Drosophila melanogaster: one gene and its partner. Changing the gene in region 2 together with the main gene of any one other region gives a genetic interaction. Each region holds a gene or a part of one and is shown on either strand. Other genes may lie near its edges.

Region 1 (5,057 bases), on a different chromosome or scaffold from region 2:
GTGACGCAAGCGACTAAGTTTTCCAATCGCTTTCGATGGAAATTTGCATTCTTTTCGACACTGAATTCCGAAAATAAGATAATTATATATTAATAATATTAAGATCTCTGAAAAATTTGTATGATTACAACATAATTTTGTCACTTTTGAGTGAGCTATAGTTTTTAATCGCTGAACCACTGTGCGAATTTTTCAAGTTCATTATAAACAAAACGTAAATATTATTAAATTGTGTACAAACAGCGCGTTGCACGTGTCGCTGTGCCTTCTAGTGTGTGTGTATGTGTGTGTGTGCGTAGGGGCGCGTGTTTGTGTCTGTGTGTGTGAGTGGGCGAGTGTATTGAACTCTTGCTGCATTTTTTGCACAATTTCGCCGCCTTTTTTTCTGCTTTTGCTTGCGTTGTATTATTGTGCTCATTTATTTTTATTTTTACCTCTGTTGTTACAATTGTTTTGCATTATTTTTCTTTGAGTGGAGAATCGATCGAATGCATCGATTTTTGGATGAGATGCTGAAGGGTTGCTGGTCACCTAATTTACATACATACATATGTACATTCTTTCGGCAGCTGACACTATTTAAAATTGACCTCTCGACGGTACCTAAACACCTATGAGTATCGAAGAGCATGGAAAAAGAGCCTTTATATTTGGAGAACGCTATCCCCAAAGAATCGCAGAACTACGGGCAGCTACATGACATTTCTTTCGGTGCATTAATGTTAATTTCAATGCTGCTTGATTGCTGTATGACGCACCCTGAAAAGGTGAAAGGTGAAAAGAGGGACCGAAAAGAGACTCGATCGTCTCCGACTTCCGTTCTGGGCACAGCTAGAGGTTAAGGTTGAGAAACTGGCCAGGAAGTATCCGCTCGGGGGTTAATGGATACGGATACACGGATGGGGATGTTCACAGCTATGGATGAGCACATATGTATGTACATACATACATACATACATACATACATACATATGTATGGGCATATGTACACGAAGATCTGGATGTGCTCATCGCTAGATGAAGTGCGACAGAAAGGGCAACAAACATGGCCAGCGTGGCCAATGGCAACGGGATTTGCCCAAAAATCCAAAATGCATCCAGACATATGCATATGTGTATGTGGGTGCTACATACAGTGATCACTCGTATAGAAGGCAGAAAAAGTTGACAATTGGAGATTTGGTAGTCTGGCACATTTCTATCCTACATCCGTTGATTTTGTTTCATTTTTTAACAAGATTTCAGACTCATTTCCCGAAGTATTTATTTTGCCGATATTAATACTTTTTTCTAGTTATTGAAAAAAATGGTGACTTTGGTTTAAAGTCCTAGGTCAAACTGAAGTATTCCATAAATATTAAAAGAAGGAAATACTACACAAATAATGCATCTTCGATTAGATATACTTCTTCTACGCTCAGATCTAGTATCGTGCATCCCATTTCCAGTTGTCAAGTGTCCACTGTAATTTCCAATTCCAATGAAAGATGAGTACGGCCCTCTCGCTCTTCCACACACACACACACGCACCCAATGTGTAATCCTATTTGCGCCAAATAAAGAAAAAGAAGAAGACAAATTTGAAACGAAGAATGAGAAGGAAAGAAAATCCAAGCTGCGCTGCCTCCGTTGAAAAAAAAATGAGAAAAACCAGACTGCTTCTCTCTTCTCTCTTTTCTCTTTTCATTTCAAATTTTACGCTCTCGCTCTCGCGGACAGCGACGCCGCCGGCGGCAGCGCAGCGCAGCCGTTGTATTTATAAATACAACTTTATAAATACAACATCAGTCGATTTTCATCTGCCGAATCGGTTGCGCTGCGGCTGCGCTGAGAATAAGATACAAAACTCGTGCGCGGCGCTTCAAGAAACCAACTCAAAAGCAGACAAATCAAATAACTAACTTGTAGAAAATAAAAATATAATAAAACATAAACAGAATTTCTCAATTCTAAGCCTACAAAGAAATATCAAACGCAAACTGCATATTTTTTTCACGTTTTTTTTTTAAACGACAAACCATTGGGAATTTTTGGAATACTAAGCTTTAAGGCCAAAGAAGTGTGAAAAATATTAAGTGAACCAAAAAATAAGTGCTATCTGAATTAAGTTATCTGACAAGAATTAAAAAAAAAACCTACACACTAAACATAAAACACAAAACACCAAAAAGCCACCAAAAATCATTTTTCAACGGGAACCAAGCCTAAAACAGTGCGAAATCCGGAGTTGGAATGCCGTCGCAACTGTTGAACACAATTTCACAACTAAATATCCACTAAGGTAATTTTTTAACAGTGATTGTTTTGGATTTTTTTTTATGTTGTTTCTGTGATTTGTGCGTGAACAATTTGTTGTTGCTTTGGATAAATAATCGAGCGCAGAAAACATGGATTATCAAAAGGATGAAATTGGAAAAGTTATTGGGTCTTCAGCTAAGCTAACATTTTTGTGTTAAATTGTTAAGAACAAAAATTGTTGAATTTAAAATTAGCACAACCGTTTTAAAATAAAATTTAAAAGCTTAGTTTTCAAACACATTTGAAATGCAATTTTTAAATGCAATTGAAGTGCAGCAGTGTTTTAAAATCGACTTAGATATTAGAAATATTATTTAAAAAAGATGAAGTAATGAAAATATATATGCCAGTTTAATTCTTCCGTAAATCGTTAAAATAATTTAATGATCCAAATTCATTATATTCCGATTAAATCAAAAGGAAAATGTTTATATAAAATTATTTTCCTACGATCACAATGTTTGAAAACATTTCAATTCAAGTCCATTCCCAAAACCCCTCCCTTGGTGTTTTGGGTCAAGTTCTGCCTGCAATTAGCCGGGTCAAAAAATTACCCATGACCGATGCTAAAACCCTTGAACTTTGACACACCACGCACACACAGACAGTCCAGTCCGAAAAGCCAGAAATTTCCGTGGTCAGGGATGATGAGGCGACGTTTATAGGGTTTAATTCAGATTGATGATCTGTTTAATATCGCAGGGGTTGTGCTCCATGTCAAACGGTTCACTTCACTCGGCTTGATTCCGTTAGATGGCGATTAGAAATTTGTTTTTTCACTGACCAAGTTGTGTTCATTGATAATTCCCAAGGGTCATAAAGGTGTGAAAACCGCCCAACAATTCCCCGCCCCAAAAAGTATATATTCGGGAGGGAATCTTTATCTCAATGACTTTTCATGACTCATGGACAACGAAATTGAAATCAGCCAACCAAAATGAAAGGCCAAACCGAAAGCCAATGGACAACAAACAACTAACACACATTTACCGAAAAAATTATATGTGTATATGACTGGATGTATGCATGTGTGTATGTATATATAGCGAACAGTGGGCTCGTTATCGGTAGAAATTTTTGATCAGCCTCTGAGGTTTCAGAGTTTCTTTATTTTTGTTGCCTTTCGGGGGGAAGTTAGGATTTTCAAATCGATCCACTACCACCCAAAGAAACAACAACAACGACAACAACTGGGACACCGCTCATAGTCATAGCCTTGATAACGGTAAATGCTAATGAGTGTACCCACATTTTTCACCCACACACCGAAATTCTTGATAAGAGCAGCATTGCCAGATGTGTATTGAATTCAATTCTTCGCACCTTTCTGCGGATGCACTTGCAACAGTCGCCAATTCTTCTTATTCGCTCTTCACAGGAACTCGATTTCAAATAGCTTTTCCGCTTCTGTTTTTTCATCTTTCCGTTGCATTGTTTACTTGCCTGAATCAGCTGTTTACGTTACTCAAGATTTAGTTTAGTATTACGCGACAATCGAAGACTGGAGAATGCAGGGTGCCCCACTATCGATTTTCTGTTATTAATTGAACCCTACACCCAGTTTACAGAATGGAACGCTGTCAGTGTGGATATCATTTGTTTACGCGTGATTTCTTTCCATCTTCAGACTTTCATAAAGCTAGTAATTACATTTTTGAATCAGCGAGTGTTGCAAAACTTTGGTGGGGTTGGACAAAAAGTAATAAAAATACTTGCGATTATAAGTGTTTAGTATATTTGATACACTTCTTTTGTCTTCGAGTTATCTAATTAGTGTCAACACTTGTTCAAGTGCTTCGATTTTTCGATAGAGTTCTTATTACACGTGCTTTATCTATACCCATCTCTAAAAGTCCTTTCTTCTTTTTCTCTCGAATCTTCTAAATCAGCACAGTTAACTAGCCGTTGGAAAAATGCTCGCCGCACAGCAACAGCACAACAACAGCACAGTGGAATCGGAAATGGAGCGCCAGCGACGGGACTCCACCACATCGGAGTCCTCGCTGGAGCATCTGGATCTGGGACGTACGCCCAAAAAACTGGGCGGTAACAGTGGCTCTACACAGACCACATCCACGCCACATGAGCTGGCTACGGTGACATCTTCGCGCAAGCGCAAAATTCGCCATTTGCAATTGAATCACCATCAGCAGCAGCAGCATCACCAGCAGTCGGATCTGCTGAGTGATGAAGACGTGGCGGAGGCGGAGGCGGAGGAGGATGAGGACGAGGAGGATGGCGACCAGGTGGCCGCCTTGGGCTCAAGGAATCTGGGACGGCACAAGCAGCGTCGCAGTGGTGGCGCCACCACACAGGCATCCATTGTGATGGACTACAGCAGTGGCGATGCCAGTTCGCTGCGCAAGAAATTTCGTCTGAATCGCTCGGCGGCCAGTCTCTCGGAATCGGGATTCGTGGACGCCAGCAGCACCACTGGCCACAGTGGCTATCTGGGTAACAGTAGCAGCGCTACGAACACTACTGCGACCAGTGGTATTGGTGCTAGCGCAGTGGCTCCATCTCCAGTCGGCGGAGCAGCGATCAACGCAGCATCCAGCAGCAGCGGCAGCAGCAGTGGCGGATCCGGTGGCTCCTCGCCCCAGGGACAGTGCCTCTCCAGCGGTGAATCAGGCATCGGAGCCGGCGACGAGCATATGAAATACCTTTGCCCAATCTGTGAGGTGGTCTCAGCCACGCCGCACGAGTTCACCAACCACATCCGGTGCCACAATTACGCCAATGGCGATACGGAGAACTTC
Region 2 (5,524 bases):
TAAACCAGATGATATGCGCTTCTTACGTTTATATAGTCGCATCTGCGCATCCACATCTAAGCAAAAAACGAAACTAAAGAAAACAAAAAATATATTGTATAAACCTATCAAGTATTTCTTTCATTAAAAAAAAAATAAATCAAATAAGCATAATTAAAACGAAAAATATGTATTGCATAATAAAGTTGTTATTAAAATGTATGATACAATTTTGGGAGTGTAAAAGAAAATATACATAAATTAGCCAAAAAATATAAAAATACCAGTGTATTCTTGTTTAACGATTGGCCAAATAGAATGTGCATTAAGAGAGCATTTCGACCCTAATAGTTTTCTACTTTCTCTCTCAGTAATACAATCTTATTGTGATGTTTCTGCGTAACGTATCGACTCTTTCTTTGTTGGATGTTTTTAGTGATGTCTACCTCCACGCAATGAACTAAGGAATTTGCAGCAACCCAGGATGATTTGTGGTCATCTTTGTGCGACTCAGATGAGTAAGGCCTATATAGATCAGCCAACAACATTTTTGACAGACGCAAAGAGTATGCTGCAGTCGAGTTTGACGACTAACAGATACCTATTGATAGAAATTGCCAGGACAATTGTTTTATAAATATGATTGGTATCTCTTATTTTTAATTTGAGTTGCCCGAGTCAAAAATCTGAAGAAGCTTTTTTTATTCTTTTTGACCTGCGAGCTACAAAAACCAGGTCCTCGCATAAAACAGATTTTATATCATTTTTTAGTTCTTTTTTTATTATTTAACTTTTTTGTGGATGTCACAATTCTCATCGGGTTTGAATTAAATATTCCACTTTTTATTTAAATTAAATAATAAATTGTCCTATTTAAACTTTATAATTAACATAATTGTAGTTCTTTAGGTCTGTACTATGTTGATTTGTAGTTGTAGTTGTTGCTGCTGCTGCATTTGCGTGCCGGACTGTGACTGAACACAATAATACAGTTTGACATCCTGCAGTGGTTGTGGGTAAGTTGATGGACAGCACCATTACTTGGTCGCCGACTTCAGGTAGGCGATCAGATCGCCGCGCTCGTTGGGCTTCTTCAGACCGGCGAAGATCATCTTGGTGCCGGGGATGTACTTCTTGGGGTTCTCCAGGTACTCGAACAGGGTGTCCTCGTTCCAGGTGATGCCCTTGGCCTTGTTGGCGTCCGTGTACGCGAATCCGGCCGCCTGTCCGGTCTTGCGACCGATCAGACCATGCAGATTGGGTCCAACCTTGTGCTTGCCACCAGCCTCAACGGTGTGGCACTGGGCGCAGCGCTGCACGAACAGCTTCTTTCCCTTCTCAACATCACCAGCAGGAACGCCCATTATGGATTATGTGGTTAATTAATGTGTTAACACGGACTCGACTGTAAAAAGAAATGTTTGTTATTAATGAGTGGTTCATAAAACAAGGGTAACCAATATATCTGTTATCTTACATCTTAGGTTTGAAAAACTTAAAAAACTGGCTACTAAATGGTTCAAAGTTCATAACTGCTACCAATTAATTTGTTCTATTCTGATAAATTGATTACAATATATATTTTATATCATTTGCTTATGTACTTAGTCCGAAATTCTGGTTTCACTGCAAAAAATAGTTATACGATATTTGATACCATTTATTATTAGCCCCAATGAACCATTGTGTAGATACTGATAAAAGCTTCACTTTCAGCCATACATTATCAAAAGATTATTGAATAAATAAACCCGAAATTTAAAATTTATTAACCAGTTGATTTCCCAACGTTACTTATATAATATTATATATTTTTAAGGTATTAAAATAATAACGTCTTTATATCATCAAAAATTTCCATGCTTGGGAAATAATGGGTTAATGTAGGTAGTTATGGACCGTGAATTAATATTTGTCCCCTTGCCCCGTTATGTAAACAATTGATAAGCTCCCTGCGGAAACGGAATTATTAAAATTGCTCATGCTAAGTGCATTAGTCGGCTGTTGTTTCTGATAAGGCCCGAAATTATTATCTAACGTAGTCTGCATTTCCATTTGCGGCCACCCCCTTTTTAACCCACATACTTTGCTCTCACTAATACGCGCGTGGAGGGCGTCGCAACGTCATCAGAAACACACTTTGAAAAAGCTTCAGACGCTGGTCACATGTTGCCCCCACACTCTTTCTCTCCTTCTCACACTCTCTTTGTGTCTCACTCGCTTATATTTGCCAGTCGCCGATTAATTGCGTCAGAACTGCTCAGCAACAGGCGGAAAACTTCCAGGAAGCATCATAATACGAAAAACGTTAGTTGTTTACATAACTATTCTATTATTCCAGGGTCTGTGTTACGGTCATCCTGCTAATTGCCGGATTATAAATTGCATGCAGCAATTTGAACTTGAGAGTGCAAAGTACCGTTGCGGTGAGTAATTCACCTACACATCACGCACATAGACTGAGAGAAATTCGATTAGCTGAAGCTCTTTCAATTCTAGAAAACTAATTTTATTTTATATGCATTTGTCTATAAAAACAAACCTAATATATATAGACTATTGATTTTGTGCGCTTTTACACATAATTTGCATTTAATATCAACCTTTTTTTCACTTCTTTCTGTGTAGAGTATCATGCACTTTGGCAGTGAGAGGTGGCAAAGCAACAACAATGTCAACATCCGATTTGGCCTTGTTGAGTATTTTTCAGTTAATTGCCGTGCGTGAGTGTGCGTGAGATGAAGGGAAAGTGCAATTGGAAAATTGGAAGCAGGCCAAAGGCAGCTGTGTTTTTCCTTGTGTGGGTGAGCAAGGTGGTGAGAACAAAGAGATGAGTGAAAATTGGGCCAACATCCAAGTTTCCTGAGAGCAGCGAATGTTACATAAGCCGCCTTTTCGCAGAGGTGAATTCTCTTTTATTTATATTATAGAAAACTGCACATCGCAGAAAGCAAAACCTGCTTAGCAACCACGTGGCGCGCTTAAAGACTCCAAAGCTGAAGCATTGACAAAAAATCCAAGAATTAATTTTTGCCACTGAGCGAGCGAGACAGCTGATGATCGGGTACGCCACTCTCTTTGCTCATGTAATCGACTCTCTCCGGGGCTTTTTTCAATGGCAATGTGACTTTGGGATGCTATTTTTACTATTAATACACCACTGCTAATATTTGCTAAATAAACTATTAAATATCTAATAAAAAATCACACTTATACACACACACACAAGGACACGTTTATGTAACCTGAATCATCCCCCAAAGAATACGTTAAATTTGCATGCGAATCATTTTCAGAACAAAACACAGCTGCTGGATGTTACGTAAATGACACGGAAGTGTTTCTAATCTTTATCTGACTTGGGGCTTGATAATCAATAACTATTCAAGGTAATATTTACGTCACTTGAAAATACAAAAATTCCACCCACTACTTACATTGAACACAAACGTCGAGCGTCGCCGATTTTTCACGAATGACGAGCGCGCGTTATGTCGATAGGTAATTAGTGTGACCAGAGTGACCGGGGGCCACGCATTAAAAAATGTCGCAAGCTTTTGTACCCGTATTTATCCACCACACGGCGTATAAGTAATTTTTTCCCCTATTAACGGGACTATATTGGAAAGCCTCTGGAAAATTTGCATTATTTAACAAGCTTCTCCAATTTATTACATTTTGCTAGTAGGACCATAAAACCAACTGTGACCAAAGCTGATTGGTACAACACTTTCCTCCACCCGCGTCGCACACAACTTGAATTAAGAAGAGGGTTTTTGGTTTATCAACTTTAATTGGCTAAAGTGAAAGTAAACCTTTTTGAAATGTATTTGAGCTCGACCATTCCCAATCAAAGTTTCGAAATCCAAGTGAAATACGTCATCTTTTGAATATGTTTGTAGTCTTTAAGCGCAGTTTTCTGGATAGCATGGTGGCCGATCTTGTTGTTTCGCAGGCGATTCTACTTGTTTGACTTGAGGAAGGCAATCAAATCGGCCCGCTCCTCAGCCTTTTTAAGACCTGCGAACACCATCTTTGTTCCGGGAATGTATTTCTTCGGGTCCTTGAGGTACTCGTCCAAATTCCCCTCTGTCCAGGTAACGCCCTTCTTTATATTGGCATCGGTATACTTGTATCCCGCTGCTGTGCCACACTTGCGACCCACGACCCCGCCAAGATTTGGGCCCACCTTGTGTTTGCCGCCCACTTCGTAGGTGTGGCACTGGGCGCACTTCTGCACAAATATCTTCTTGCCGTTCTCTGCATCACCAGAACCCATCTTGGAAGCCTGAAAGACAAATAGGGAAAAATGATATTTATGATTTAGAATTCAACTTTTTATGCAGCTTTTATTTCTATATTTTTTAATTTTTTGTTATTTGTTTTTTGTTAATTTGGATCAAATAGAAATTGGTTGATTCCGAAACTATCATGAAAAAGAAAAGTGTAGAACTAAAAATTTGATAGAAAAGAAAAACAGATTCAATTTGTTTCAGTGTCCTAAAAAACCGTTTGAAAAGTGCAAGTCCTGGACAACTGAGAGAGAGAGAGAGAGCGTTTCTCTTGGTCACTCTCTTGGCTGCACAGCGATAGACAGAGACAGCTGCTAATGCACGAAAGCAAAACAAAATTGGGTCAGAAAAATAGGAAAAACGAAAATTAAATCAAAATGGGTATTAAATGAAAAGCAAACAAGCAGCTCGAGAACTTGTCGGCACTTCTAATGGGAAAAGCAACCGAAAGGTAATTCAATTAGCAGACACATTCGGCTTGCCACCCCCTTTCCCAACCAATTCGTTGACTAGCAGATGCACATGTGCTTTGAACATTTCCTTTCAATTAAAACGCATTTTACGCACTCTCCGCTTTCGCCCCCTGCCTTCCCCTCTCTCAACCATTTTCCTGTGGCAAAAACAGATGCCACCGCATAACAAAACCAAAAAAAAAAAAAACAAAGCAGAGGGAAATGAATAACGGGAAAGAGACATGGAACCATGCCGCATACAACGGTCACACAGGGATGATATTCACCTGCAATTTAAAATTTAAAGGATCAATTGAAAATATTAACTATGTTTATCTCAACCAATTATCTTAAAATTAAATTTGTTTTAAATTTACAAGAGTGCATTATGATATTTTTCAGAGAATGATATTATTTATATATTTATATTACGTACGTATGTAAATGTCACATTCTAAATCCAAACAATGACATTTTCCTGGCAGCCCTGCACTGGTATTAGGTGTACTCCCTGTGCATCCATCTACATACATACATACATATATCCCCAATGGGACATCCTGGTTGTGACCTAACCTAATTGGCAATGGAACCATAATTTACCCGCAGGCTAAACTATCCTGCCTGTTGGCCCGAGTTCTTTTGCCGGACCACTATAAATAAATGGTGCAAGAAATTAAATTACGCTTGAACGGGCTCGGCCGAACATGGGGTAGTAGTAGGAAAGAGATAGCCTGCGGAAAGGTTGTGGGGAGGCTATATTGTTTACTAGATCTATTGCTGCGGAAGTCCATAAAAAGG

Evidence for each region. Genes that interact genetically often act in the same process or in processes that back each other up.
Region 1: of Cyt-c-p (region 2) and peb, changing one suppresses a phenotype caused by changing the other (phenotypic suppression), as found in Drosophila melanogaster (one study listed by BioGRID).

What each region holds. Positions count from the first base shown.
Region 1 is NC_004354.4:4,615,783-4,620,839, forward strand, and holds the start of peb (pebbled), read left to right. Parts: upstream 1-1,781; 5' UTR 1,782-2,281; intron 2,282-4,187; exon of another isoform or gene 4,188-4,192; 5' UTR 4,193-4,211; coding exon 4,212-5,057.
Region 2 is NT_033779.5:16,717,869-16,723,392, reverse strand, and holds Cyt-c-p (cytochrome c proximal), read right to left. Parts: upstream 3,462-5,524; 5' UTR 3,417-3,461; intron 1,385-3,416; 5' UTR 1,344-1,384; coding exon 1,017-1,343; 3' UTR 749-1,016; downstream 1-748. Other genes in the region: Cyt-c-d (cytochrome c distal), read right to left, coding at 3,941-4,258. UniProt on the Drosophila melanogaster protein: Electron carrier protein. The oxidized form of the cytochrome c heme group can accept an electron from the heme group of the cytochrome c1 subunit of cytochrome reductase.